Canis lupus familiaris: one gene and its partners. The protein of the gene in region 3 binds, or shares a complex with, the protein of the main gene of each other region. Links are inferred from orthologs where the notes say so. Each region holds a gene or a part of one and is shown on either strand. Other genes may lie near its edges. The genes, in order: UBTF, POLR1F, POLR1H, POLR1B, TAF1C, TAF1A and POLR1E.

What was found.
Region 1: POLR1H (region 3) and UBTF share a complex: the UniProt entries of both Homo sapiens proteins name them as parts of the pol I pre-initiation complex. The link is inferred for Canis lupus familiaris from reciprocal best matches to the Homo sapiens genes POLR1H and UBTF.
Region 2: POLR1H (region 3) and POLR1F share a complex: the UniProt entries of both Homo sapiens proteins name them as parts of the RNA polymerase I (Pol I) complex. The link is inferred for Canis lupus familiaris from reciprocal best matches to the Homo sapiens genes POLR1H and POLR1F.
Region 4: POLR1H (region 3) and POLR1B share a complex: the UniProt entries of both Homo sapiens proteins name them as parts of the pol I pre-initiation complex. The link is inferred for Canis lupus familiaris from reciprocal best matches to the Homo sapiens genes POLR1H and POLR1B.
Region 5: POLR1H (region 3) and TAF1C share a complex: the UniProt entries of both Homo sapiens proteins name them as parts of the pol I pre-initiation complex. The link is inferred for Canis lupus familiaris from reciprocal best matches to the Homo sapiens genes POLR1H and TAF1C.
Region 6: POLR1H (region 3) and TAF1A share a complex: the UniProt entries of both Homo sapiens proteins name them as parts of the pol I pre-initiation complex. The link is inferred for Canis lupus familiaris from reciprocal best matches to the Homo sapiens genes POLR1H and TAF1A.
Region 7: POLR1H (region 3) and POLR1E share a complex: the UniProt entries of both Homo sapiens proteins name them as parts of the RNA polymerase I (Pol I) complex. The link is inferred for Canis lupus familiaris from reciprocal best matches to the Homo sapiens genes POLR1H and POLR1E.

What each region holds. Positions count from the first base shown.
Region 1 is NC_049230.1:19,058,312-19,062,072, reverse strand, and holds part of UBTF (nucleolar transcription factor 1), read right to left. Parts: intron 1,698-3,761; coding exon 1,633-1,697; intron 1,347-1,632; coding exon 1,226-1,346; intron 866-1,225; coding exon 755-865; intron 417-754; coding exon 283-416; intron 122-282; coding exon 1-121. UniProt on the Homo sapiens protein: Recognizes the ribosomal RNA gene promoter and activates transcription mediated by RNA polymerase I (Pol I) through cooperative interactions with the transcription factor SL1/TIF-IB complex.
Region 2 is NC_049235.1:33,894,580-33,898,333, forward strand, and holds the end of POLR1F (DNA-directed RNA polymerase I subunit RPA43), read right to left. Parts: intron 2,673-3,754; coding exon 2,464-2,672; intron 1,333-2,463; coding exon 900-1,332; 3' UTR 607-899; downstream 1-606. UniProt on the Homo sapiens protein: Component of RNA polymerase I (Pol I), a DNA-dependent RNA polymerase which synthesizes ribosomal RNA precursors using the four ribonucleoside triphosphates as substrates.
Region 3 is NC_049256.1:27,778,001-27,782,380, forward strand, and holds the start of POLR1H (DNA-directed RNA polymerase I subunit RPA12), read left to right. Parts: upstream 1-1,520; 5' UTR 1,521-1,566; coding exon 1,567-1,957; intron 1,958-2,041; coding exon 2,042-2,142; intron 2,143-2,440; coding exon 2,441-2,550; intron 2,551-3,604; coding exon 3,605-3,629; 3' UTR 3,630-3,673; intron 3,674-4,243; 3' UTR 4,244-4,380. UniProt on the Homo sapiens protein: Core component of RNA polymerase I (Pol I), a DNA-dependent RNA polymerase which synthesizes ribosomal RNA precursors using the four ribonucleoside triphosphates as substrates. Can mediate Pol I proofreading of the nascent RNA transcript.
Region 4 is NC_049238.1:36,976,353-36,980,113, reverse strand, and holds part of POLR1B (DNA-directed RNA polymerase I subunit RPA2), read right to left. Parts: exon of another isoform or gene 3,303-3,761; intron 3,054-3,302; exon of another isoform or gene 2,863-3,053; coding exon 2,609-2,862; exon of another isoform or gene 1,807-2,608; coding exon 924-1,806; 3' UTR 1-923. UniProt on the Homo sapiens protein: Catalytic core component of RNA polymerase I (Pol I), a DNA-dependent RNA polymerase which synthesizes ribosomal RNA precursors using the four ribonucleoside triphosphates as substrates.
Region 5 is NC_049226.1:68,671,617-68,676,128, reverse strand, and holds the start of TAF1C (TATA box-binding protein-associated factor, RNA polymerase I, subunit C), read right to left. Parts: upstream 3,061-4,512; 5' UTR 2,940-3,060; intron 946-2,939; 5' UTR 945-945; coding exon 819-944; intron 1-818. UniProt on the Homo sapiens protein: Component of the transcription factor SL1/TIF-IB complex, which is involved in the assembly of the PIC (pre-initiation complex) during RNA polymerase I-dependent transcription.
Region 6 is NC_049259.1:17,550,773-17,555,190, reverse strand, and holds the start of TAF1A (TATA box-binding protein-associated factor RNA polymerase I subunit A), read left to right. Parts: upstream 1-1,369; 5' UTR 1,370-1,518; exon of another isoform or gene 1,519-1,583; intron 1,584-1,685; exon of another isoform or gene 1,686-1,693; intron 1,694-1,792; exon of another isoform or gene 1,793-1,796; intron 1,797-1,857; exon of another isoform or gene 1,858-1,988; intron 1,989-2,977; 5' UTR 2,978-3,034; coding exon 3,035-3,155; intron 3,156-4,418. UniProt on the Homo sapiens protein: Component of the transcription factor SL1/TIF-IB complex, which is involved in the assembly of the PIC (pre-initiation complex) during RNA polymerase I-dependent transcription.
Region 7 is NC_049232.1:54,136,843-54,140,041, reverse strand, and holds part of POLR1E (DNA-directed RNA polymerase I subunit RPA49), read right to left. Parts: intron 1,468-3,199; coding exon 1,334-1,467; intron 416-1,333; coding exon 334-415; intron 1-333. UniProt on the Homo sapiens protein: Component of RNA polymerase I (Pol I), a DNA-dependent RNA polymerase which synthesizes ribosomal RNA precursors using the four ribonucleoside triphosphates as substrates.

The DNA of each region.
Region 1 (3,761 bases), on a different chromosome or scaffold from region 3:
GGCATCCTTCTCCTTCTGGGAGAGCAGTTTCCACTGCTGGCTGCATAGCACCATGCGCTCAGTGCTGGGCACGTCCTTCATGTTGGCCATCAGCTCTGCGCAGTACAGCGAGTAGCTGTTCCTATCAGAAACAGCAGGAAAGGAAGAGCAACCCCCCTTGAGTGACCAGGGCAGTCCAGGGCACCTGGCTTCAACTTCAGAACCTGGCCGAGATCCTTGGATGGCCCAGCTCCCTAGAAGCCCTCGTGCCCACTCACCCACCCACCCCAGGGCAGTGCTCACGGAGGTGGCTTGGTGGGTCGCCCATCAAACTTGTCCTTGAGCTGGCGTTCGGCCTTGGTGAGGGTGGACTTGGTGATGCCCTCCTCACTGATGTTCAGCTCGGGGTGCTTCTGGATATAGTCACGCATAATCTCCTGCAGAGTGAGGTGGGGGGATGGAGGGCAACGGGGTGTGGGGTTAGCGGGGGCTGGGGAGGGGGGAGAGCCGCTGGGGAGGGGAGGCAGGGAGCAAAGCTGGGGGGTGGCCGTGTGTCTGCTATGTCACACGAGACGTGGTGCCCTGCCCTGCCCTAGCCTGAGATCTCTTGGGGGGGTGGGTGGGGAAGGTAGGGGCAGAGGTGAGGGGCCCAGAAGGCCCCTCCCTCAATGAAGGGACAGGGAATGACTGCCTCCCGCAGAGTGCGGAGGCCACAGAGTCAGAGGGCAGAGGCTCTTGAAGAGCCGGATGGGGAGGAGCGCAGCGGAAGCCTAACCTCGTACTCCTTCCGCTGCTCCAGGGCCTTATGAATCCATTTCAGCCTCTTTTTGTCCGAGAGCTGAGACCACTGCTTCCCCAGGGAGTCCTTCACCTCCTTCGTAGTGGCCTGCAAACCAAAAGCCGTCAGACACACACAGGCAGCCAGGGGCAGGGGGAGGGGAGAAGGGGGAAGGGGGCACAGAGGCCCCCACCCCCTCAGGCCACAGGAGGTCACAGGAGTGTCCCCCACAGGCCAGGAGGGGAAAGTAGAGAGGCGGGAATCCCGCCTAGGTGCAAGGGGACAGGCTCACACACGCACGCACGCACACACTCGCACGCCAGCTGGCCCAGGCCCTGTCCATGCAGCCCACCCCTGGGGAGGGGCCTCCTCTCCTGCTCCCCTGCACCGTGCCCGGCCGACCTGGCGCGGCTCCCCCCTTGCCACCACCGTGCGCCCTCCATCCCTACCCCCTGGCCGGACACTCACATCTGGCCGCACTTTGAGATACACCTTCTTCTCGTGGGTGTACCACAGCTGCTGGGGGGTTTTGGGCTTCTCAGGGATGTCCGACTTCTTGGCATTCTGGATTAGGTCAGGGTGATCCTCCCTAGCCAGGGCATGGGGAGCAACAGTCAGCGGGTACAGGGGGATCCTGCCAGGGAGACCCCCAGCTAGCTGCCCCACCCACCAAGGCTCCTAGGCCTATCAACTGGGGCCTAGTGGGACAGTGGCTACCTGCCTGTCCCTGCCCTTGAGTGTGACCCACTAGGGTCTACACATGACCCATCCATCTTCCATGCCTCACAGATGGCAAGCTCGAGGCTCTGGTTGGTATCACCCTAACCTGCCACACCCAGTGCCCTGTGGCCCTCCTCTGGGCTCCACTGCCTTACCTGAACCGGGCCAGGTTTCGCTCGAACTCCTGTTTCTCTCTCTGGAAGTCCTGAATATATTTCATCTGGGGGAGGAGGGGATGGGGTCATCCACGACCCAAAGCCTGAGCTACAAAAGCCACTGAGTCCTCCTTGCTAGCTATTTTGCCTCCCAGTGGTGATGTGGATAGAAGGTGGCGTGAGCTGGCAGGAGATGGTGGCCTGCCTTCCAGTGGGCTGTGGGGGGGGGGGGGGGGGCGCTCAACCGTAGCCCCAACTGCTAGCTTAGAGCCACACAGTGGGAGCTACAGGGGCCTCCCAGAATACATCCTATGTCCTATTCCCTCCTGTCAAGAGAGGGAGAGTCCCAGGAGTGGGACCCAGCATTACCCAGTCACAGTGAGTAGTGACACAGCTGGGACTCCCCCTGACCTTACCTCCCCACCTTTCCCCAACACCGCAAAACTCTCCTCAATGCATTAGGAGGAGGTGTAGGCCTTGCCCCTATTATTCCCTCCTCTCAGGTCTGTGGCAGCTACTGTTGGTCTGTTGCCTCAAAGATGGTTCACAGGGCCGGGGGCAGGCTGAGTCTTGCTTTCAAGTAAGGCCCAAGGGTAGACTGTGTTGAAGGCACCCAGAGTGAATTCTTGCAACGTGAATGACATTCTCATAGATCTCTCAACTTGAATTTTCTTCCCGATCTGCTGAGTGGTCCCCCTGGAACCCTGACTATCCTTCATATGCCCTCCCCATCCCAAACCCCTTCCCATCACCTTCTTCCCTGCCTCTGATCCCTTCTCCAAGCTCCTGGCTGGCAGGCTCCTCGAGCTCCCCTTCCCCCACCCGACTGGTTCTCCTCTGCCTTGGCTTCTCTTCCTTCTCCTCCACCTCTTTCTATAGGGCTGGCCTCCCTTCCCGCCATCACCCGCCTACTTCCATTTTGTTCCTGCCTCTCCATTCCTCTCTTCTTTTCTTCCTTCCTTCATCTACCTCCTGTCCTCACTACTGCTCAACGTCCAGCTCTCCTTTCTCCCTTTTTCCCCCGGTTCACAAGAGTCAGCTGTGGAAGCATCCAGAGGCTCATGGCAACTGAGTCCAACCCCTGCCTTTCACAAGAGGCACCAGGCACAGGAGGAACCAGCTTCACCTTCCCCTGTGGTTCTTGTAGAAAATGGGGAGCAGAGCCCAGCCTACTCTGCCCTAATCTCAGCCCTCCTCACACAGAACAGCGGCTTTCAGAATAAGGCACAAGCAGACTGGGCTTATCCTCTGCACCTCAGATAAAGACCATGTCCAGAGAAATGAGGTAACTTACCAAAGGTCACACACAGAACAATTCAGTGGTAGTCAGGAGCAGAACCCCAAGTCTCGTGTCCCCCAGGCCAGCACTCTGTCCACTCTACCACATAGTTTCTTAACTCTCCCAGGTCCTCAGACCCTCTGCCTCTCCCTCCCTCTCCATGAGAGTCTGGGTGTTGTGTGTACAGTCAGCTCTGCAACATCCCCATCAGAGGGGCCAAAGAAAACTCTTAATTCCTACTCCTGCTTGGCCTGGACAGCAAGTGTAGACAGCTGGTTTCACCCAGCCAAGCTGGCTTCTTTTTGGATACAGAACCAAGGGCACGGGAGTCTGCAGCCAGAGTGCACAAACCAGGAAGACAGAGGGCTATGTATGGTGTGGCAGCCGGTGCCACGTCCTGAGACCTGGCCACATAAGGCTTTGTCTCTTCTTCCAGTAAATGTGCGTTCTTGTCTCTCCCACTGCCCCTCACCGACATCTCTCCCTGGCTCCACCTCACAGTCCAGCACCCTGGCTGTCCATCTCTCTCCTCTCCCCATCTCACTTGGGGCCCTGCTGCAGGCTCCTCCACTGCTTTGCTGCCCTCTGTGAGGGTCCACTTGACAGCACGAGGCCACAAGGGACAAGGTACAAATCCTTGGCTGAACGTGGAGGAAGGAAGCCCACTTAATATGTGTGGACATGGCGGTGAGAAGAGCACCCAAGTGCTGTTCTGCTGTTGCTAGTTGTGTGACCCAGGACGCGAGTCCCTCCTGGGCCCCAGTTCCTTGCCCACACAACCGGAATAACCCCTTCTCTGGGGGTTCCCTTTATGAGGATACTGCACGCACCAAGTGAGACCACAGTGAAA
Region 2 (3,754 bases), on a different chromosome or scaffold from region 3:
TTCCATAAGAGAACGAACTACATCTTCCTAGTCTGCCATTATATGTCTTTTCCTTAGAGGTATTACACACAGTAATGCATAGGTACTCTTACATCAATGAACATGGCCATGCATTGATAATCAGCCTGAACCAGCTTGCCATTTCATTACTCAGTGTTTTCTAGTAGTTAAGAAAGACATAGTCCATGTTTTCTCAGTGAAATTTTCTTACACAGTTTTTAGTATTTAACCTAATTATTATAGAGTTGAGAAATTCCCCCACTAGGGACAAATGGTGTTTATCATGTCTTAATTAGACTCTGCTCCTCCAAACACAGCAAAAGCAGACAAGTACAAGAGAAGAGCCTTCTCTATCAACCTCTTAGAGAAAAAAAGAGAACATGCATTTGGAAGGAAAGAATAGTGAACAATGTTTCCTACTACAGTCAATAGTGGCATGGAACTCCTTTGGCAAACCCTTCTAAGTTGAACCACAGAAACACTGTAGTAGCCAACAAAATCTAAAAATCACAGGTAATATGACTACAGGGCAAACCTATTTAAAAAAACAAACAGAAGCTCAAACTCATTCTTCAATGATATGAATAACACTATAATACAAAGTCCTTTTGCCAGTCTTCAGAGTATAGAATTTTATTTAGAATGTAAAAATGGGAAAAATGCAAGACTCGAGAGAGCAGCTCTTTTTTATTTTGTATACAATAAAATGGCAGTTTAATAATATTGGTATTTCCCATAGTAATCGTCACTTTAATAATTTAAGCACCAAAAACTTCTAATCAAATCTTTCCTGTTTTGTAGACTACTGGAATACACAAACATCTCCTACCATTTTGACATTTATTCATCTGTTGTATCTTAATTTTTAAAAAACAATATTTAAAATACACTAAAGAAAATTACTTTCCCCTTTTCTTTTTAGGTGAATGTTCCAAAAGTGGGGTAAATTCAGCTTCCTCACTGTATTTTCTTTTCTTTTTTTTCTTTTTATGGTCACTCTGGTAACCACTGGAGTCACTGCCTTGGAAAACAGGATCCTGGTCCTGATCTTGCTGCTGCTGCTGCTGCTGCTGCTGCTGCTGCTGCTGCTGCTTCTTCTTCTTCTTCTTCTTCGGCTCATCCTTCCATAGGCCATTCATATTATCAATCTGCGGGTCTGTCTCTTTCTTCATTGTGGCATCTGTAACATCAGCTAGCTCTCTGTTATCACTCTCCACTTCATAGGACTCTGGGTCTTTCTTCTTCTTTTTTTTCTTGAGAGGTTTTTCAATAATTTCTTCAGTGCTAGTTACTGTTATTTCTTCAGGAACTGCAGAGCACTTGGTTTGTAAACTAAATTGACAGTTGAAAAAATTTACAGAGCAATAAACAAAAAATAAAATGAGAAAGACTATCCCAATTTTTTTCTAAAAAAATGACAGCAGTACAAAATACAGAAGTATGGCATAAATTTGAAATATTCTATCCTGTTATCTCTCACCCATTAAAATGTCTGGGAAAGGTTAAAATTTTTCCAAAGTACTTCTTCCACACTGTTTTCACACATAAAAAAATGACATAAATTTTATCAAAATGTAGCTTCTAAATTTTGGTTTGGTTCAGAAAAAATTGGTGACAATAAACATCACAATACCCAGGCTTATTAGCTAAACTGATGAGTGATAAAATATATACTTCCATTATCTATGAAACTAATGGAGTTTCCTTCTACTCTCACAATCCTTGTTTCATTTTTTTCCCTTACCCTTGCTTGAAGCAATAATACCTTCAAAGCTATGAGTTAACACTAAAATAAAAATAGTTATCAGTGGAACTCTGGAACTGCAAAGTCCTATACAGTAATAATATCTACATATAAATAATTTCAACAAGATAACTTCGATATCACAGATGCTGCACATGTTTCTATCATTGCAGAAAGTTCTACTGCACAACTGCTCTAAAACTGTAACCCATACTCTTGTTAATTATCAAGGTAAAATCTAAAAAAGGAATTAACACCAGCAGTATTCCCAAAGCCTTTTTCTTTCCCCCTACACTCCATTAAACTTGGCTTCCATGGAAACAAACTCAAGATGAGAGTAATTCTTAGAATAATTTCAATATCAAAAGATACAGAACTTACCTACCTGGCATAATAACAATAATCAAATTTGTGTTTCAACTGTGAAAATGCTAACAATTAACTAGAAAAATTAATTTTAGTTAAAAATTAACTAGAAAATACTCAGTAAGACTGAGTTTTAGTAAAATACAGAACAGTTAGCTAGATGTGTAGAGATTTAGAATATTCAATGCATTGTCTTAACACTTTAGATTCCTATTTGCACTGACTTTATGGTTTGGAAGCATGAATACCCTAATAATTTTTTTTTTTTTTTTAAGAGGGACTTATGTTCTCTAAATTGAGAATTAAACAAATGACTAAATATCAAAATTAAAATAATGTGATTAGGAACTGACCTAGTGATATTCAACTTTCCCCGAATGCAGAATACTCCAGCAGCATCTGAGTCCAAACGAAATACTTCAAATTCTAGTTCATCACCTACATTTATCTCCAGGATCTGCCACTGCTCAGTAGACATCTGCTCAGGTTTAGGAATGGAGGCATTGAAACACCCATGTACTAAACAGCCAATGTGGCTGGATGACACTTTATTAACTATACCCTGGGAAGAAAGAGAAAAAAAAAAACTGTAACATCAAGAAATCCAGAGTTAAAAGGTAAATAAAACTTTATAAGCCTCAAGTTGATCTTCAAAAAAAAAAAAAAACATCAAAATATGGTATAATTTGACATGGAAAAAATTTTTTTGATTGAAATTTACATATTATACTAAACCATCATTTTAAAACACTGTAGAGATTTGAGAAAAGTTCAACTTTACTAAGTAATTGCATATCAATTGCCTAACTGGATAAACAACTATTCTTCTCACTCCCCCCCCCCCCCCCCCCCCCAATAAAAACAACTCCTTTGCTCCTACTACAGGATTCCCTGGTGAGTAGAGTATAACCATAATGAAACCAAGCAGAAAATACTCTTTGATATAACCTAAATGTGAAATGTAGATCTTGAGCATGGCTATTTTGACTGAATCACAAAGCATTTTGGGAAGCTTTAAAAAGTATGTGCTATATGATTTTAAGCTTAAAATATGAAAGTTTCAAAAAAAAAAAAAAAGCCTTAGTTTTCTTTTCTTTCCCTACAAATCAATGTATATAATGTATATAAATTAACATCTGAAACGTTTAAGTCATTTATTTTAAACTTTAAACAAAACTGTATACATGTTAGTGTTGCAACTCCTTATACACAAAAAATTCATTGGCTGTCATTATTAGGAGTCTGGTGTTCCCAATGGTACATTCTGGGTGGTATGGACAAACTGCACTGCATCTATACAATGAGTACTAATCAGCAATAAAAAAATAACTATCAAGCCATGAAAAGACATGGAGGAACCTTAAATGCATACTGCTAAGTGAAAGAAGGCAAGCTGAAAGGCTACATACAATATGATTCCAACTATATGACATTCTGGAGAGGGTAAACCATAGAGACCAGACAGTAAAAAGATCAATAGTTGCCAGGATTCAGGAGGATGGAAGGAAGGTGAGGGGTGAATAGGTAAAATAGAGAATTCTGAGAGCAGTACCCAATTATTCTACAGGATACAGTAAAGGGAACACAGGACACAGGTCATTAAGTTGTACTTACATTCCCTGGGTTTTAGAATGTACAACAGGA
Region 3 (4,380 bases):
GGGAGACAAAGGTCTGCTTCTCAATCTTATAAAAAACAAACATAAACTAGATTAAAGAGCCTGGGACAGACAGTGTAAGTCCTCAATAATTGGCAATGGTCTCTCCTCCACAGATCAAGCCCAAGTCTCTGTAAAGTCTTTCCGGACTATTCTACGTAACAGTGATTTTCCCTTCTTCTGAACACAACGTTTTTTAAACATTATTCCTAAGTCACTTGAAAACCAGCCAGGGTTTCCATGGTGATACCTGTATCATTTGTAACACTTTCATGCTGAAATTTAGACTGTAAACGGGAGGTAATCTATAATTTAGATTGACAAATACGATGTGTCTCTGTTACTGGAATGAGCCTGGTATCAGTTATTGGATCTCACTGACTTCCTGCCTATGTTCCTATCTGTCCGTGGACACCTATTCTGATATTTAACAAAGGTAACCGTCCTATTACTTTTCAGAACACAACCCAGCACGGTTTGTGTTCAGCAACAGTTTCTGGAACTCATCTTCTGGTTCCCTTGTCGCTGGTATTCGAGCACCTTTCTCCTTTGCTCCTGAGGTGCCATGTCCACGTTTTTACTGAAACATCAGCGAGTCCTCCTGGAGGTGCAGACACCATAGTCCTAGGCCCTGTGTGGGTCTCTCGTGGCGGGTTCCACCGTGTCCTTCGTACCCCTTGAGGTCACAGCATCCTTTCCAACGGTGCCGCCCCAGCTCCACAGACACTTGGAAAGGCCCGGGCCTCACGACACCGGCCCATCGGGATCGCGCTGGACTCTGCGTGGAGCAGCACTGCACGGTCACGGAGTCGGGAGCAGAGTCAAAGAGGTTAACAGGCTAATTTTAACGTTCGCGGTCTAAACGGCAGACCGCCCCCTTCGAGCCGGACAGAACGACGTCCTGCGGGGACAGGCGGACGGGAGCCACGGGGGCAGCGGCTCAGAAACTCCTCGTGCCCCGCAGACGGTGGTTACTGGCGAGCGGCCGCAGCTCGGCTCCCTAGCGACCGTGAGCCTTACGCTCGGGAACGGCAACCGTGCTCGTCACTCCCCGGTGACCCGCTGGGCGCGGCGGAGGGGGACGGCCCCCAAGTCAGCCCCGGGCCTGGGCCGCCCGCCCCGCCCCGCCCCGCCCCCGGCCCTCGCCCTCATCTCCCTGGCCCGCCCGCTCCTAGAGCATGTCCTGGGCACGTCAGGCCGGCGGGGCGGAGCTGGGCCCACTGGCTCCGGGGCGGCGCGGCGGCGTTCGGGAAGCTCAGCAACATCTCCACAAGCAACGCTCCCGAGGTTGGGTCCCAGAAAATACGTATCCCCGGACTGCGCTTCTTCCTGATGGAGTGTCCGGAGGCGCAGCGGCCATTACCCGAGCTCCTATCCCGGCGTCGGCACCTCCGTCCGTCTCCCACGGCGCTCGACCCCCGCTCTGGGGCTCTCGGGGCGCCGGGCGCCGGATTGTGACGTCACGGCCAAAGGCGCCAGCGCCGCGCACAGCAGTCGGGGCGACGTATTGTGACGTCACAACCCCACAGAAGCCGGCGAGGCGGACAGCAGTCTGGGCGCCGGATTGTGATGTTACACCCAAGGGCGCCGGCGCGGCGGACTGCGGTCTGGGCGAGGGATTGTGACGTCACGACCAATGGGCGTCTGCGCGGCGGATGCTCTAGCCCGCTCCGCTCGGCGGGTGCTCTCACCTGCCCTGGAGGACCGCACTACGCCGGCCGGTCCTCCCGCGGAGCCTCGCGCGTCCAGGGAGGAGGGCTCGGTTCGCGGCCGCCGGGGTCCCTGGACGGAACCGGAGCTGCCCACCGTCGCACCCTCTGCGCCATGGACCCCGCGCCCTCCGGCTCCAGATTCCAGTCGGACCTGGACTTCTGTCCGGACTGCGGCTCCGTCCTGCCCCTGCCCGGGGCCCAGGACGCGGTCACCTGTGTGCGCTGTGGCTTCGGCGTCCCCGTGCGGGGTGAGGAGGGGGCGGGAGCGGCCGGGTTGCGGGGGGCGGCGGAGGGTCCGGGGGTGCCCGCAGCCAGCGCTTACCGCTCCGCAGACTTCGAGGGGAAGGTGGTGAGGACCCGCATCGTGTTCAACCAGGTGGGGACGGCGGTGCCCGCGCCGGTGCAGGAGGAGCCAGAGCTCCAGGGACCCGTGGTGAGTGAGTGACCCCAGCACTGACCCACAAGGAAGGCGGGGAGACATGCAGGGTTGAGTGCTGAGTCTGGGGTAACGGGTGTGCAGGAGGAGCCCGACCTCCAGCGACCCGTGGTGAGTGAGTGATGCCAACACTGATCCACAGGGAGAGCGGGAAGGGCTGCAGGGTTGAGTGCTGAGGTCTGGGGAAACAGAGGTCTTTGGAGCAGGGGTGCTGGGGAGAGCATGCAACGAGATTCCTGTAGGAAGCAGGGGTCATCCTGGCTTTCCCTGACCCCCCCCCCCCTTTGGTTGCCAGGTTGACAGGCGCTGCTCCCGATGTGGTCACGAGGGAATGGCCTACCACACCAGACAGATGCGCTCAGCTGACGAGGGGCAGACCGTCTTCTACACCTGCACCAGCTGCAGGTGTGCCCCCTCCCTGGCCCTCTGCCCTCTCCCTCTGGCCCTTAACCACACATGTCCTGTGACTTCCCTCTTGTACCCAAGAACCGGTTATTTCCTTTGGTCCTGTCCTCTTTTCAGGTAACAGGGACATTTGTGTTTTTTTTTTATTTTTGAAAAAGAACATTTTTGTTAGTTTTTTTTATAGCCAGTGAAGCGAAGCTTTTAAGCTGTTTAAAGGAGTGAGAACAGAGAGAAGGCAGGTATTTCTGGGTGGTCTGCGTGTTGAATCCTGCTGCTTGTTCCAGTGCTCTTGCTTTTATGAGAATCACCTGTGATTTCAGGAACCAGAGAGACCTGAACCATTTGAGAACTCCTTGTCTTCGGTGTTCTGTACTTTCACCACGCTTATCAAGACCTAGCTTTCAGGATCCCTGGGTGGTTCAGTGGTTTAGCACCTGCCTTCGGCCCACAGCATGATGATCCTGGAGTCCTGGGATCGAGTCCCGCATCAGGCTCCCTTCATGGAGCCTGCTTCTCCCTCTGCCTGTGTCTGTGCCTCTCTCTCTCTCTCTCTCTCTCTGTGTCTCTCATGAGTAAATAAATTTTTTTTTTTTTTAAGATTTTGTTTTTAAATAATCTCTATCCACTGTGGGGCTTGAACTCAACCCCAAGATAACAGTCGCAGGTTGTGCAGATTCATCCAGCCCGGTCATAGGGTAGCTCTATTTTTAACTTCTTGAGGAACCTCCACACTGTTTTCCAGAGTGGCTGCACCAGTTTGCATTCCCAGCAACAGTGCAAGAAGGTTCCCCACTTCTCCACATCCTTGCCAACATTTGTTGTTTCCTGACTTATTACTTTTAACCATTTTGATCTGTGTGAGATTTTATCTCATTGTCCTTTAGGTTTTTAGTCCAGGATTTTTAGTTGTCTTGAATTTGAAGGATTGTTTCGGGGAGCTAGTCATCTACAATGTCATAAATAAAACTCCCTCCTTAATTTTTCACGTGAATGTTTGTCTTATACTGCTAAAACCTCTGTGCCTAAATATAATGAGTCCTTTCTTTCTCCATAGGTTCCAGGAGAAGGAAGACTCTTGATTTTCTTTCTGGGCACCTTATCAGTTCTCCCTCTTCCTTGAAAGGTGAGGGATATTGGGTTCTTAGATGCTTTGTCTATCCTGGTTGCAGTGCTTTGCTCCCATAGACAGAGATTATCATGTGGGCATTACCATTGTCCCTACAGTACACCTACTGTAGTTGAGTTTCTTTATCAAGGTTACGTTTTTCTATATAAGCCAGACATACCTGTTATTTATAATGTCTTGTTCCAAAAGGAATTTAAATGGATTTACAGAGAATATATTCTTTCAGTAAGTATATCAGCTACAAAAAATATAGTATAAATTAGTGTATGAGAAGGAAAAGGGAAAAAGGAAACTACCAAAGACAAAAAATGGAGGCAGGAATGAGACTAATATAAAAAGTAATTATGGGCACCTGGGTGTCTCAGTGGATGAGTATCTGCCTTCACCTCAGGGTATGATCTCCCGGGTCTTGGGATTGAGTCCTACATCCAGCTCCCTATAGGGAGCCTGCTTCTGCCTATGTCTCTGCCTCTATTTCTGTCTCTCACATAAATAAATAAATCTTTTTTTTTTTTTTAAGTAATTACAAGTATTCCATGACTAAATGTATTTGGTTCCTGAGTTTAGGGAAACAAAGCAGGAGCCCAGATGCTGGGAGATAAGCAGATAACGTAACCAGATGTGTCTGACGTGTGAGCTGGAACAAGGAGAAGTCTGATACTAAGGTTTACCAGTATATGCTGAACACATTGGACATTTTGAAA
Region 4 (3,761 bases), on a different chromosome or scaffold from region 3:
GAGAGATGAATAAAGATCTACACACACACACAAACAATGGACTATTATTCAGCCTTAAGAAAGAGTGAAATTCTACCATATGCAACAACATGGGAAGGACACTGTGCTAAGTGAAATAAGCCAGTCACAGAAGCACAAATACTGCATGATCTCATTTATATGGGATATCTAAAATAGTCAAACTCCTCGACTAGTATGATGACTAGCAGGAGCTGGTGGAGAGGAATGGGAGTTGCTGCTGGTAAAGTTCTAAGTTACAAGGTGAGTAAATGCTGCCTGTAGCTAACCATGCTCTATCGTACATCCAAACATTTGTTATGAAGGTAGATGGTCATATTCAGTGTTCTTACCAAACACACACACACAAAGGGCACAAGGAATCTTTTGGAGGTGATGTTTATTACCTTGATTGTGGTGATCATTTTTGATAAGTGTATGCGTATGCTCAAACCCATCAAATTGTATGTTAACTATATGCAGTTTTATGTAATAATTACACTTCGATAGAGCTACCTTCTGTTTTTATTTTAATGTGGATATAAGCAAATATAAAATTACATAAACGGCCTGCATTGTATTTGTATTGGATTGCTCTGTTCTAGACAGGGAAATGTTCGACACTCACTGCCCACTGAAAGTAGGATTCAAAGACCCTGGGGTTGGAAAGACTTCCCTATATATCCTTCTACTTACCAGTAGAATCATTTAAGATACTCATCGAATTTTTGAACAAGTGTACTGAAAATCAACTTTAGTAGTTACTCTTCTGGTCAGACTCAGAAATCTTGAATTCTTAGTTGCCAAGTCTTGGTGGGAAACATGCTTGAAAATAACTCCAGAGTAACCAAGTAATATCTTCACTGAGCTAAAGTCACATTTTGTTTTAATCTGACAGTTCTCCTAACCCAAAAGGCCACATCAAGTTAAACAACATCCAATTTCACTTTGATGTTCATAGCTGCCAGTTCAGCTACAAAATACCGGAAAACATAAGGCACAGAAACAGTGTCGATAGTATCACTGCGGTCACACAAAGTACAGTTGTATTTTCTGTTGCGCATGGCAGACCAAGAAGGAGGTGGCTTCTCCAACAGTGGAGAGAGTAAACTACCACACTTGACACAGACATGGGCTACCGATCGATCTGAACAGTTGAAGAGGCGGTCGTGAAGGAGAAATGATGTACCATGAGCTAAGAGAGCATCCCGCTCCATTTCCCCAAAACGGATTCCACCCTGTACGTTTCTTCCCCCAATGGGCTGGTTAGTGACTTTGTCTCTGGCTCCTGTGGTTCTAACTTGGAATTTGTCTGAGACCATGTGGCGTAAACGTTGATAATAAACCACACCTATGAAAATGTCTGCTTCCAGTTCTATCCCACTGATGCCACTATACAACCTCTCAGTGCCATAGAAGTTGTAGCCAGCAGCTTTTAACAGCTCACCAAAGTATTCTAAGGCCGAGTTCTCTTCTGAAAAGGTGAAGGGTGTAGCATCATGGCAGAGACCGTGCAAAGCAGCAGACTTCCCTGCCATACTTTCAATTAACATACCAATAGTCATGCGGGAGGGAAAACCATGAGGATTGAACAGAATGTCTGGGACCATCCCACTCTCAGTAAATGGCATGTCCTCAACTGGCCACAACCTGCTCAAGATGCCCTTTTGCCCATGACGGCTAGCAAATTTATCTCCAATGGTTGGGTTCCGAGGGACTCTCATCGTGATGCAAACACACTTGAATCTCCCATTGCCAGTGTCATTACTACACACTTTGATGTTATCCACAATGCAATTTTCTTTACTCCTGGGGGAAAAAAGGAGACAGAAGGTCAAACTATTATTTTTAAACTTACAAAGACACCTCAGTTTTACTGACATAAAGGATATTTGCAAAATTTATTTTTTCATTTATTCTCCAGTACAAATAGATTTGATATCCCTGAAAGTATTTATGAACAGGGCTACTGATTCGATTTGCTACAGAACTCTGCTCATCTGAAAGAATAGTCACAAGAGACTACCAAAACACCATAACAAAGACCTACTGCTAAAACCATTTAATAGATGTAAAATAAGCTAGACACTTTTTTTTTTTTTTTTACATTTTTAATTTTAACGAGAGGCACACTGAACTTGACATTTTTAGCTAGGGAAACCCAAAAAAACATTCATGAGAGAGATAGCAAGTTTGAATAACTCAGTTTTCAAAGAAGTCACAGATAACTTATCAAATCGTGTAACAGACTGACAAGAGAAATAGAAAAAGACAGACACAGAACTGTGTCTCATTTAAGAAATACCAATTCAGTTATGACTGAGTAACCGAGCTACCACTTATATTTTTTCCACAACTCTCCTGTTACAAGATAACTTTCACTGACCTTGGCAATTTCACTGAGAAAACCACCTTTAAAAAACAGCACTGGGGAGGGGGGTGGGTACACCTGGGTGGCTCAGAGGCTGGGTGCCTTTGGCTCTGGTCAAGTTCTGCATCGGGCTCCCTGCAGGGAGCCTGCTTTTCCCTCTGCTTATGTCTCTGTGTCTCTCATAAATAAATAAATAAAATCTTAAAAAAAAAATAACCAGCACTGGGTACCCAAACTTACTTATAGTACGTCACAAAGCTTTCCCCGGTGTTGAGGTTCAGGTAACTATAATATGGATCTCCATACTGCAGCCGTGCTCCAATAAATGGCAATCCATCATCATCTAACTTCTGCAAAATCCGTGGGTCCCCAGGCTTGACACCAAACACCAGACTATCATCTCCTTGTTTAATTTTTTCAGAGAGATCTATGAACTCGGACTTGTAGACACTTCCATGGGCAAAGCCTCGTTCCCAGGAGGCTTTATTCACAATCTACAAAGTCAAAGAATCATTAATTTAAGAGACTGAGGCCAAATGGGGATTTTCACAATAAAGATGGCTAGAATTAAAATACTTGGTTTAGGATAACTGGCATTCTAATTTAAAAACTCCAGGGATCCCTGGGTGGCTCAGCGGTTTAGCGCCTGCCTTCAGCCCAGGCCGAGGTCCTGCAGTCCCGGGATCGAGTCCCGCATTGGGCTCCCTGAGTGGAGCCTGCTTTTCCCTCTGCCTGTGTCTCGGCCTCTCTCTCTCTCTCATGAATAAATAAATAAAATCTTTAAAAAAAAATATAAAGACTCTAAATTTCAGGGGCACCTGGGTAGTTCAGTTGGTTAAGGATCTGCCTTCAGCTCAGGTCCTGATCCCAGGACCCTGGGATCGTGCCCCGCATTGGGCTCCTTGCCCAGCAGGAAGCCTGCCTCTCCCTCTCCTTTTGCCCCTCTCCCTTCCTTGCTTGTGTGCACACACTGTTTCTCAAATAAATAAAAAAATTTTTTTTGATGACAGAAGGATGTTTAAAGTTTGATTTCTTGATATTGTCATATGTGTAAAAATATATAATTTAAAGTCAGGGAAATAATCAGCTTGGTGTCGCCTCCTTCCACCCCTTCAGTACAGCTTTTCCAACTGGCCTCCATTTCAGCCATTCCCTTCAAAATCCTGGCATGTGGAGGACAGGGTCACTTCTTGGTAGCTTTTGCCTGGGCTGCCAAATCTGCCTCTTTGTGGGCAGCCAAGAATGTGGCTTGCTCCTTGTGGTAAGCTGCCAGCTCTTCTGAATGGAGGTCCTTCACCACACGAATGCCCAGGGAATGGGCAGAGCCAATGATGGAGTGAACCACAGAGGACAGAGTGAACCACATCCTGCAGGGCGAAGGCCTCATCCTGAG
Region 5 (4,512 bases), on a different chromosome or scaffold from region 3:
AGGAGGGCTGGGAGCCTGGGACTAGTCCCGGCTTCCAACCTGCAGGCCCCGCCCCATGCCATCACCGGCTGCCCCAAGTGCCGCCTGATTCTCCCTTCTACTCAGGAGACCTGACTTACTCAGGGCACCCAAAGGCCACTCCACTCCCCAGTGCGGGGCCGGCCTAAGATAACTCAGCCTCAAAACTTGCAATCACTGGCAAGCTGGGCTCCCAGAGGGGACCAATTGGACATTAAGCCCTTCCTTGTCGGGGGACCCCACCTCACCCCTGGCATAATCCCAAGCCTGTCTCCAAGTGGGAGCCAGATGGTTTAGGCTTCCAGGGAAAGCACCTTGTCCTTCCTGTCCCAGGAGGCCTCTCCTCCCCTCCCATACCCTGCCTTCTCTCCCGGCTTCATGCCTATTGCGCTATTTGAGCATCCTCTGGGTTTCACGCAGAGCTCTTATCACACAGGGTGAGGATTTTATCCTTTGGTCACTTGTCTCATGGGACCTAACCCTAAGTTCCACAGTGCAGGGGATGCCTCCGACATAGTCACCCTGGATTCCCAGGCCTAAAAAGGCCCCCTGAACACTGTAGGGGCTGATCAGTGAGCATCTGCTGAGCAAAGGCAGGAAAGGAAGACTGAAGGAGAGGTGCTCCTGTGCTCAGGAAACTTTCTGCGGAGAGCAGGGTATCCCCTGCAAATGCAAGTGGCTCAACCTATGTCTTGGCATAGTGCCTATGTCACCCCACCCTGGCTCCTGATAATGGGTGTGAGTGCTGGAGAGGAGGGCCGGTGAAGGGGCCCTGCCAAGGCTCTCTGTGCCGTCCTCACCTGAGAGTTCTCGGGCAGGGTCAGTGCGTCTCTCCAGCTACACATGAAGGACATGTCAGGGACATTACTCAGACCAAGGGGACCAGTCATAAACAGTGTGGGGTGGAGAGAGCTAGGGAAATCCATCCTGGAAAACAAGAAGCACACGTCATGCCTTCGTAGAGACAAGAATCTGATCATGCCCTCCAGGGTTCCTGGGAGAATGGCAAATACCCTAACAAGAGCATATTTCATTTCAGGAGGTAGATAATAAGCAACAAATAAATATGCAGCTTACTACCAGATATGAACAAGTGCTATATTAATGTCCATGAGGCACGGGATGGTGATGGGCAATGGCAGCCAGGGAAAGCCTTGCTCATTAGGGAGCATTTGAAGCCTGAACCCAATGAGGAACAGAACCATGCAGATGACTGAGAGGTGGGTTCCTGGAAGAGTGAATGGCAAGTGCAAAAATCCTGGGGCAGGGAAGTATGTGAAAAACAGCTAGGAGGCCACAGAATGAACAAGGTGGAGAATGGGAGGGGAAGAAGTCAGCCAGGCAGCAATGGGGCAGCTTCCTAGCTCTCCTGTGCTACAATCACACATTGTAGACTATGCACCCTACACCCCAGGCTGCATTCCCAAGACCAACTCAAGTTCCCCCAAAGCCAGGACAGAATCTTATTCATAGGTCTTCCCACTGTCAAGTACGGTACTTTGCAGAAAATACAATTGACCTTGTGCTGAATAATAATAAGTTTATGTCAAAGGGGAAAAAAATTTAAAAATAAATTTATGTCAAAGGGTTTTGCCAAACGCCAATTGCTCTAGAAAAATAAGCAGCCATACCATCCCTTTTATTTTTTTTAAAGATTTATTTATTCATGAAAGACAGAGAGAGAGAGAGAGAGAGAGGGAGGCAGAGACACAGGCAGAGGGAGAAGCAGGCCCCACGCAGGGAGCCCGACGTGGGACTTGGTCCCGGGTCTCCAGGGTCACGCCCTGGGCCGAAGGCGACGCTAAACCGCTGAGCCACCCGGGCTGCCCTCCCTTTTGTTTTATTAACCACAAGAATAACAGTTCGCTTTACTGAACACAGGCACCTGCCAGGCTCGGGCTACATGTCCATTCTCCTGGTGCCCCATCTTGGGGTTCAGGAGACTGAGGCTCAGCCAAGACAGCAAGCACCCCAGGGCCACCAAGCGTGAGCCCCCGTGCCATTCCCGGTCCAAGTGCTGAACCCGTCTGCCCTCCCGCATCCACAGCAGACACGAGCTTTCGTCTCGGTCCACAAAAATCTTCCCCCGCGCTCTTCGCTGGTCCAGAGCGCCCGCCACGCCGTCAGGGCTGCTGAACCCTCCCCAAACGGACGAGCAAGCGCGCGCGGCCCGGCGCGGCAGCCTCCCCGTCGCGCGGTCTCGGCCTGGCCTGGCCTGGCGGGCGGGCCTGCCCTCCGCTCTGCTCGCAGACTCGGGGCTCTCCTCCCGGGGCACGGTCGCAGCCGACGGCTTTCGGAGTTGGTGGTGCCGCGCTCCCGCCCTCACGCGCCGTGCTCCGGCAGAGCAGCAGAGGGCGGCAGCACGCATCAGGGGAGCGCTCGGAGGAGCCTCGGGCAAGACGCCGGCCGGTGGGCAGGGCCGAGCGCCACCCTCGCGGCGGAGGCCGCGTCCCTCCCGCCCCCCGGCTGCGCTCCCCGCCTCGAGGAAGCCAGCGCCCTCCCCCCGCTCGGCGGGCAGCAAGCCTCGGCCCAGCACCCGCACCCTCGCCCAGGGCCCGCGCTGCCACGTGTGCCAGGGCCGGCGAGGCCGACACCCTCGTGCTGGGACCTGCTCCGGGGCCGCCGCGGGGCCTCGCTCTGTGCTCCCGCGGCCCGCAGACAGCGAGGGAACAGGCGCAGCAGCGAGCGCCCCCGGGACCCGGGACCCGGGACCCGGGACCACGGACGGCGGCGGGGCGGGGTGGGGGGGGGGTCTCCGGGCTTGGCCTCCGCGCCGACCGCTGCGGCCACGCTCCGCCCCTGCGCGGCCCCGCCCCGGGGGAGGGGAGCCGACCACCCAGTCGCACAGCGTGGGGGCCGCGGACGCGCGCGCAGGCCCAGCCCGGAGACCCCCCCGCCGTCCCGGCGGCGCGCGCTCTTACGTGGCCCGGGCCCGCTGCGCTCCTCGGGGACCTGCACCTCGCCGCGCCCGCGAGCCGCGAAGGAGCCCGCGATGGGACGGCGCCTCCGCCGCAATTAACGGTCTTCCGGGCCGTGCCGGAAGTGCTCCCTCCAAGGCAGGAAGTCCCGCCTCCCAGCCCGGCCTCCTCGGGCTCCCTAGAGCGCCACCGCCCGGGTGGAGGGGGAATGGGCGTGGAGGCGGCGCCCTGGTCGGTGAAGTATACAGTCTCAAGGGCCCATAGTGAAGGCCAGTTTGACGCGGGTTCGAATCCCATCTCTGTCTAACTTCCTAGATCACAGGCTTCTTATTGAGCGCTTAAAAAAAATTTTTTTTAATCTATTTTCTCATGAGAGACACACACAGAGAGGCAGAGACATAGGCAGAGGGGGAAGCAGGCTCCCTGCGGGGAGGCCGATGCGGGACTCCATCCCAGGACCCCCCAGGACGAGGACCTGAGCCCAAGGCAGACGCTCAACCACGGAGCCACCCAAGCATCCCTTGTAACAAAAGTATTAACTGAATTTATTCCACAAACACGCACTGAGCACCAATATGAGCCAGACACTGTATTAGTGAGTAGAAATCCAGTTAATTGTCCTCATACCCTATGAACCAGTCTTTACAACTAGGGTTACCAGCATCCGTAGAGTGCATGAGGCCCTCCCAGTGGTCAAGCAAGTACAGCTCTAGGCATTGCTTCTCAAATTCTAGCTTGCATCGCATCACCTGAACAGGGTGTAACATAGGTTTTAGGTGCGGTGGGACCTGATAATTTGATCTAAATTCCCAGGTGATACTGATTGTGCCTCCTGGGGCGCACACTTTAAGAACCACTGTGCAATCATAAATCTTACCATTATCTTAACCCAATACCTCTCAAAGTTGAGCGTACAACAGAATCTGGAGGGCTTGTTACACCAGTTTGCTGGGCCTCACTCCCAGAGTTTCCAGTTCAGGAGGTCTGGGATGTGACTCAAGAATTTGGCATTTCCAATGAGTTCCCAGGTGATACTGATGCTACTTGCTGGTCCAGGCACCATGCTTTGAGGCAATTGTTTTTTAAAAATCCATTTCCAAATTCTCAGCTTCCATCTATACAGTTTTATCTGAGAGGTGCTTGAGATAAGACAGTTGTCCTTCCACATTTTCTTTCTTCCACACTGTGGAGTATTGCCAGAATTGTGTGCTGAACAAAAAGCAGAGTTCCCACAGAAGAGAGTTCCCATTAGACTAAGAAAAGTGGGTTCAGTAAGAAATAGTGATGGAAGGACACAAAAGGAGGACTTTTGGGAACTGACCATACTATGTTCATGTCAGTGCTAGTTACATGGATGCGTTCAGAGTGTGAAAATTCATCAAATGATCTGTGCAATTTTCTGTACCTATGGTGTACAGCATTAAAGCAGCATTTTTTTAAAAAAGAAAATGTGATGCTTTATCACTTTGAAATTTCAACTCTAGGTTAGGCTGCATGACTTCTCAGCTGTCTTAGAAACAGAATGCATGGGCATCCCAGGGGGCTCAGCAGTTTAGGACCGCCTTCAGCCCAGGGC
Region 6 (4,418 bases), on a different chromosome or scaffold from region 3:
CAATATTTTCTAAATAAGTTTGCAGTTTTTCAAAGATGTTATTTTTAAAGATTTTATTATTTATTTGAGAGAGAGGAAGAGAAAGCACAAAGAGGAGGATAGCAGAGGGAGAAGCAGGCTCCCAGCCCAGCAGGAAGCCTGATGTGCGGCTCAATCCCAGGATCCTGGAATCCTGACCTGAGTGGAAGGCAAATACTTAACTGAGCCACCTGGGCTGCCCTTAAAAAAATGTTATTATTATATTAAGTTGTTCTTCAGCATAACACAATTGTAAAGACATCTTTATGCTTCTTAGAATATGTTTTCTTCTAGATTGGAGTCTAGAAACCTTCTGTATGCTTCATTTTGTTTTATATTTGCATTTTTGTCATCTTTTTTTTTTTTAAATCTTGTTTACACTATTGGATGAGTTGTTTTCATTTTACTGTCTTCATCTTTTTTGTTTTTTAAAGATTTTATTTATTCATGAGAGACAGAAAGAGAAAGAGAGAGAGGCAGAGATACAGGCAGAGGGAGAAGCAGGCTCCATGCAGGGAGCCCGATGTGGGACTCGATCCGGGGACCCCGGGGTCACACCCTGGGCCGAAGGCGGTGCTAAACCGCTGAGCCACCGGGGCTGCCCTGATCGTCTCACTTTTGACGCCTCCCTGCCTCTCTCCCGTATGTTCATCAACATTCTTCAGGAAAAATGACCCCAGACGTGTCCCCAGAGCCATCTCTGCCGAGAGGGCAAAAACACATTCTTGCCCAAAATTTGGGGACATATATAAATTCAAAGTTAAAACTTTAATCAAAGAGAAAAACAAGATTTCGAGGAAGCGGTTAAGAGGTTATGCAGATTAGGGGCTGCCTGGGAGGCTCAGCGGTTCGCCCCCGCCTTGGGCCTAGGGCGTGACCCCGGGGTCCCGGGATCGAGTCCCGCGTCGGGCTCCCTGCGTGGAGCCTGCTTCTCCCTCTGCCTCTCTGTGTCTCTCATGAATAGATAAACAAAATCTTTAAAAACAAAAAAACAAAACAAAAAAAAAAGAGGTTCTGCAGGTTTATCTCGGTCAGGACCCCGTCCCTTTCTCCGCCCCCCCCGCCCCCGCCCCCGCCCCCGCCCCAGGCCTCCTAACCCTTAGGCCGAGCAAAACTCTAAAGGCCCCGGTTCCGTGAATCACTCGGTGCGGTGCAATTCCGCTCCTCTGACTGCTCCCCTCGTCCATCATCCCGTCGTCCCGGTCTCCAGAGGCACTTAGAGTCCCGCATTCCCCCACCGGGACCCACCCCGAGGGAGGGCAGCGGCCCGCAGCCACTTCCGGGGTCGAGCCGCCGAAGGCGACGCCTCCGCCGCGGGAGGAGGGGTTAGGGGCGGGGCCGCGTCTGCGCACCGCCTGAGAGCGCAGGTGTGCGAGGGGGCGGCTTTGCGCATGCTCGCAGCGAGGCGTCTCTAACTCCGCTTCCGGTGGCGGTTGGCTCTCGCTGGGCCCCAGTCGCTGGGCTGCGTTAGAGCCGCGGAGAAGTGTGGGCGTCGGGCAGGTGAGTGCCGCTGCGTTTGTCCGTCCGTCCTCGCCGCCGTGCAGAGTAGCACCCGAAGGGCTGCGCTAGGATTCACCCTTGTTCTGCTGATGTTTTTTTTTCTTGATGTTCTGAAACCTTTATTGCTGAGAACGAGGCGGAAGGGGTGGAGAAGCTATGATGGTTACCGTGGCAACTGCGGGGGGCACCCACTTAGTTTTTGAGAATTTGGGAAGGGAGAGTTTCTTCTGTAAGGGCTCGTTAAAATACACGTGTTTCGGGTGTTATTTCAAACCCATGCTCCTAAACCGCAGAATTTGATTTTTTTTTTAAAGATTTTATTTATTTTTTTCACGAGAGACAGAGAAAGAGGCAGAGACACAGGCAGAGGGAGAAGCAGGCTCCATGCAGGGAGCCCGATGGGGGACTCCACCTGGGACCCAGGTCACGACCTTTGCAGAAGGCAGACGCTCAACCGCTGAGCCACCCAGGTGACCCTCAGTCCTGTCTTCCTACCCCCTCCTCTACATGGACCCAAGACTATTCATGCCAAGTAGTTTGATGCCAAGTTTGATGTCCTGGAATATTGTCTTCACTTTTCTTATGTTGGCTTAACTTAATTAAGCCCCTCAGTTTTTTTTCAATATGAACGTGGAAGAAAATAATCGTAGTTTCCTCTGGATTTTTATAGGAATTAACGAGATAATTTAAAAGCTTGGTGGTATAGATAGAGACAATACATATTAACCATTACTACTGTTATTGTGGTTGTGTGGTTTTATTATTATGTATCATTTTGCTGTTTCTTCCTCTAAGCTTGAGCTGTTATTTTTATGTGTGTATTTATTAAGGTGCACTATCTTATCTATCTTTGTTCTTGTAACATAGTAAAGATTAAAAAGTTTTTTTGAATGGATCATTTTTTTTGGCTGTTGCTGGCATAATTTTACTCCTTTCTTTAAAGGAGCTACCTGGGGATCCCTGGGTGGCGCAGCGGTTTGGCGCCTGCCTTTGGCCCAGGGCGTGATCCTGGAGACGCGGGATCGAATCCCACGTCGGGCTCCCAGTGCATGGAGCCTGCTTCTCCCTCTGCCTGTGTCTCTGCCTCTCTCTCTCTCACTGTGTGCCTATCATGAATAAATAAAAATTTAAAAAAAATAAATAAATAAAGGAGCTACCTGGGGGTGCCTGGGTGACTCAGTCCGTTAAGCATCTGCCTTCAGCTCAGATCGCAGGGTCCTGGGATCCAGCCCCTAGTGAGGCTCCCTGCTCAGTTGGGGGGGGGGGTCTGCTTCTCCCTCTGCCTCTTCCCCCTGCTTGTGCACTGGCTCTCTCTCTTTCTCTCTCCCTCCCTCCCAACCCCCCCCTTGCTCTCTCTCAAATAAATGAAATTTTTTTTTTTAAAGGAGTGACCTAGTAGATAATTTTGCTGATTGAGTGTTATTTATTAGATAAAAAGATGGCATTTTTTTCTGTTTAAGAATTCTGTGAAATAAGATACACAGAAAGGAACTGATAATCTCAATTTGGAGCAGGTATGAGTGATTTCAGTGAAGAATTGGTAAGGTCCAAGACAGAGGACGAGCAAGAGGAATCATGCATGTTCTCTGGTACAGGAATGTCCTTTCCTTGGCTCCAGAAGCATATAGAGACTGTGGGTAAGTAAAATCACATACAGCCATTTTAATTGTAATGCAGAGAGATGATAAAACTCTGGATACAAAGTGAATAACCAAACTGGTTTACTCAGTTTTCAGGATGGGACTATATAAGGGTTTTTGAGGCTGTAAGAAAAAAAAAATAGATCCTTTTTTCTATTTTTCCTTTGAACTAATAGCAGTCTGTATTATGGTAGGTACACTTTTTGTTTGTTTGTTTTCTCTAGCAATACTTACTAGGAACTGAGCAGATAGGTGTAAGTCCAGAATTTACATATTTAGAAATGTTTCATAAGTTATGGATAGCCTGTTAAACCCAAAATACATTATGTCTGCAATGAGAAAATAATTTCAGGTAATATTGACATTGTAGAGATTTAAAAAAAAATAGCCATAATAGGAAAACAGAATTGCCTAGCAATTGCTTATTTTTTATTCTAGTAGATATCTTTTGGGGTTTTGAAGGGTATGCCCCCTAGAATAAAAACTTCGAAGACAGAGGCCAATCTGGATTAAAACTGAATGTTGAGTACCTTAGAATAGTACTTGGCTCAAAATAGTGCTCAAAAAATATTTGTTGACTGACACATTTCCAGGTTTTTTCAGGGGCATTAGAGATAGGTTGATGGCACTTGTTCTTTATTGTACCTCATTCTGTGTCAAAATTTCTTTTCCTAGGCAATTATTTTTGAAAGTGTATTGGCAACAAATAGGATAATCTTTTGCTCATAAAGAATGAAGTGAGAGATATTAGTAGGGTAACTAGGCTAATTTGGAAGACAGAAGGAGAATTTTCCAAGGATGTAAGGACACTAGTCTAAAGTCCAATTTCCATTCTGAGTAGTGAAAACTTGAGGGGTAGATGGGAGCTTGGCCTGAGGTCAGTCCTCCTTTATGTGAATAAATGAGTTTTTTTTTTTTTTTAATTTTTATTTATTTATGATAGTCACACAGAGAGAGGGAGGCAGAGACACAGGCAGAGGGAGAAGCAGGCTCCATGCACCGGGAGCCCAATGTGGGATTCGATCCCGGGTCTCCAGGATTGCGCCCTGGGCCAAAGGCAGGCGCTAAACCGCTGCGCCACCCAGGGATCCCAATAAATGAGGTTTTAAGGGAGAGGTGTTTTGTCATTTTCCCAGACTACCTCCCTGGTGTTGCTATTAGTCCTGGGCAGCTTGTGTGTAGATCTTGCTAAATGTAGCTTCTTATTCAGAGAGCTGGGTGGGGCATATTATTCTGCATTTCTGATAAGATCCCCAGGGA
Region 7 (3,199 bases), on a different chromosome or scaffold from region 3:
TCCAAATTCATCACACTGGGCTGCCTTGTTTTGTGACACTGCCTTCCCATAGAACACTGATTCTATGGAATATTAGGAAGGTTCCTTGAAATAAGTCTCCGTTGCAGGAACTCCCTAAAACCTCTAGAGTGAACCTCTCCAGGGGGGACAGAGCAGATAATATATAGGGCTTCCTCAGTTGACTTGACCCCAGGCCCCTGCAGGCGGCAGTGAGTGCCCCCGTCAGCAGTGTCTGTGGACATGGAAGCCAGTTCATGCTCTCGTCCCACCCTCGCCACCTGCCCCCGCCTGCTTTCTCCTTTATAGGCCGACACCCCGAAGTCGATCCCTGACCTGCCGTTGTTGTAGGTCAAGCAGGTGAAGTGCTTCAGCAATTTGGTGTTGATGACATGGGGGATTCCGGGTCCCAGGGCACCTGCGACACAAAGGTGAGATGGATCGTTTTGTTTCCAAACCCTGGGAACACACCTCCCCCCTGAGCTGGGAAAAGAGGCCAACAGCTGAGCCACTGCGATGAAGAGAACCATGTGGTAAGAGGAGCAGGGGCCCACGACACAGAACAGCCACTTCCCAGTGAAAACGAGCTCAGCTGTGCTCCGGCTTGCAGACCCCATGCACCCAAGAGATGTTTGTGATGGGGTGGTAACCAGGAGGAAAAACAGACTCCACTAAGGCCTAAAGACACAGGATTCATAAGATACAATACAGCTTGTGGTGAAAGCCCAGGGAGAGGGAAAGGAAAGGAGACTGAAATGCGAAAATAAACCAAGTAAATACTGAAAACATACAGACTCTTGGGAGCTCTAGCAACAACAAGATGGCACCAGCTTGTGCCTAAAACCACAGGCGGGTTTCTAGCTCCAGGTAGACAGGAGTGGGAGGCTCTCACCTGTGGCCCTCACTATAGAGGACACAGGTTACCAGGGGGAATGGACTCTCTTCTTTCACAGAAAGAATAAGCTGACACAACAAAAACCTGCCACAAGCCTTCATGTGAGCCAAGCCGATTTTTCTCCCCATGGGACTGATGTTTGGTCCAACCATCCCTTGAAATTTTCATTCGATTTGACTGAAGTCTATACTTCGCCCAATGCAGAAGAGAAGTAGTGAATATTAGCTCTGAACAATCGGACCACCAAGCCCGTCCCCATTTTCAGAGGAGTAAAGAGCTGGGCCAATCCTCCAACCCGTGTTGGCAGCTACAGGAACCTCACTGTTACACAGTCAGAGATAAAGATCTGGACAAGCACACGCATTTTCTTCTCTCACGAGAGCTGGTTGAACAAATAACAGGCTGGAAAGGACTAGAATAAAATGTCTATCATGGACTTACTTTTCCGCTTAATCACTTTCTGTGCTCGAAATTTGATGAGCGTGTCCAGAAACCATATGCATCGGGCCTGGCGGTCTCGGCTCTTCTCATCTGATGGCAAAGACTTCAATGCTTCTATGACAAAGGAGCAGTGGCTAAAACAAGGGGGACAAGGGAGGAATATGTAAGACCAACCCTGTCAGGAACCACTGACGCTCATGATGAAAACAGCGGGCATCCTCCACAGCTGATCACATTCAACCGTTGAAGAGCCATCCTAATATCCTCCTTATTACACAGTGAGCATGGTTTAGTGCTAAGGCAGGAAAGGGCTAGACAATAAATATTTTAGGCTCTGTGGGCCATTGGATCTCTGTTAAATCTACTCAAAGCTGCCAGTGTAGTGCAAAAACAGCCATTAATAACAAATGAACCGCCATAGCTGTGTTCCAATAAGACTTTACTCATAGACAGCAGCCTGACCTTGGCACACAGGCCATTGTCTGCCCCGTCCTGATGTGTGGTCTGGAGCACAGGCCCTTCAGTTAGATTGCCTGGGTTTGAATCCCCTCTCTACCAATTAGTAGCCTGGGCAAGTTTCAGTGTGTCTGTACATCTCCGTACAACATCTTCACCTAAAAATTAAGGACAAAGATAGTGGCCTCCCTCTAGAGGTTTTTTGTGCATTAAATGAGGTAACGCAAGTCTCATTTAAAGCATTTAAAACAGTACCTGGCACATACAAAAGCTCCATCAATGTCAGTTATTCTTTTATGAACTGTTCTACTACCATGAGGCCCAGACTCACAGAAATAAAAAGGCTCTTCAAGATCATCTTGCAGCAGGCTCATTTTACAGATAGGAAAACTGAGCCTCAATGAAGGGAAGATCACACAGTACCTCAGGCAGAGCTCAGGAACTCAGTTCTCCAGACTCTCGGCCCAGAGCTCATTCCTCACCTGCTGCTGAGCCATGATTACATTACGACAACCAAGAACCAGTAATAAGTTTTTCTGGAAATGTATCTTTGGAACAACAAAAGCACCTTCAAAAATCAGGGAACCAACCTAGGGTTTTCAATTTTTTATTTTCTCAAGATGAAATTATTAAAAGAAAAAACTCAAAAGCAAGAAAATTCCACTGTCATCATCAAAGAGAAGCTGCTTAAAACAAACAAAAAAAACAAAGAGAAGCTGTTTAAGGGTCAAAAGGTACAGGGGAGATCATCTGAGTTATTTAAAATATATAGTATTTAAATATATAAACTTAACTTTTTAATTTTTTTAAAGATTTTATTTATTCATTAGACACACAGAGAGACAGAGGCAGAGACACAGGCAGAACGAGAAGCAGGCTCCATGCAGGAAGCCCGATGTGGGACTCGATCCCAGGACTCCAGGATCATGCCCTGGGCCGAAGGCAGGCGCTAAACAACTGAGCCACCCAGGGATCCCCTAAACTTAACTTTTTTAAAAAAAGATTTAAAGAGCACACGTGAATGGAAGAGCAGAGAGAGAGAGACAGATACAGATAAGACAAGAGAAGAACCCTTGCTGAGTGTGGAGTCCAACTTGGGGCTTGATCTCACTACTCTGAGATCATGACCTGAGCCGAAATCAAGAGTCGGATGCTTTATCGCCTAAACCGCTCATAAATTTAACTTCACGTATAAAAGCTCACTCGGCATCAACCATCACTTGCACTGGCACCAACTCGCGGGCTAGCGCCTGGGCCCCACTGGTGATGATCACAATCAGCATAGCCCTGGGGACACAGGCCTGCTCCGGTTCAAAGCCCAACCTTAAGGCCTCACCACCCTCTGCTCAGCCACGGGCTCCAAGCACTCAGAGGCCACCTCGTTCTCCCTTGAATGCCACCCACAGCCTT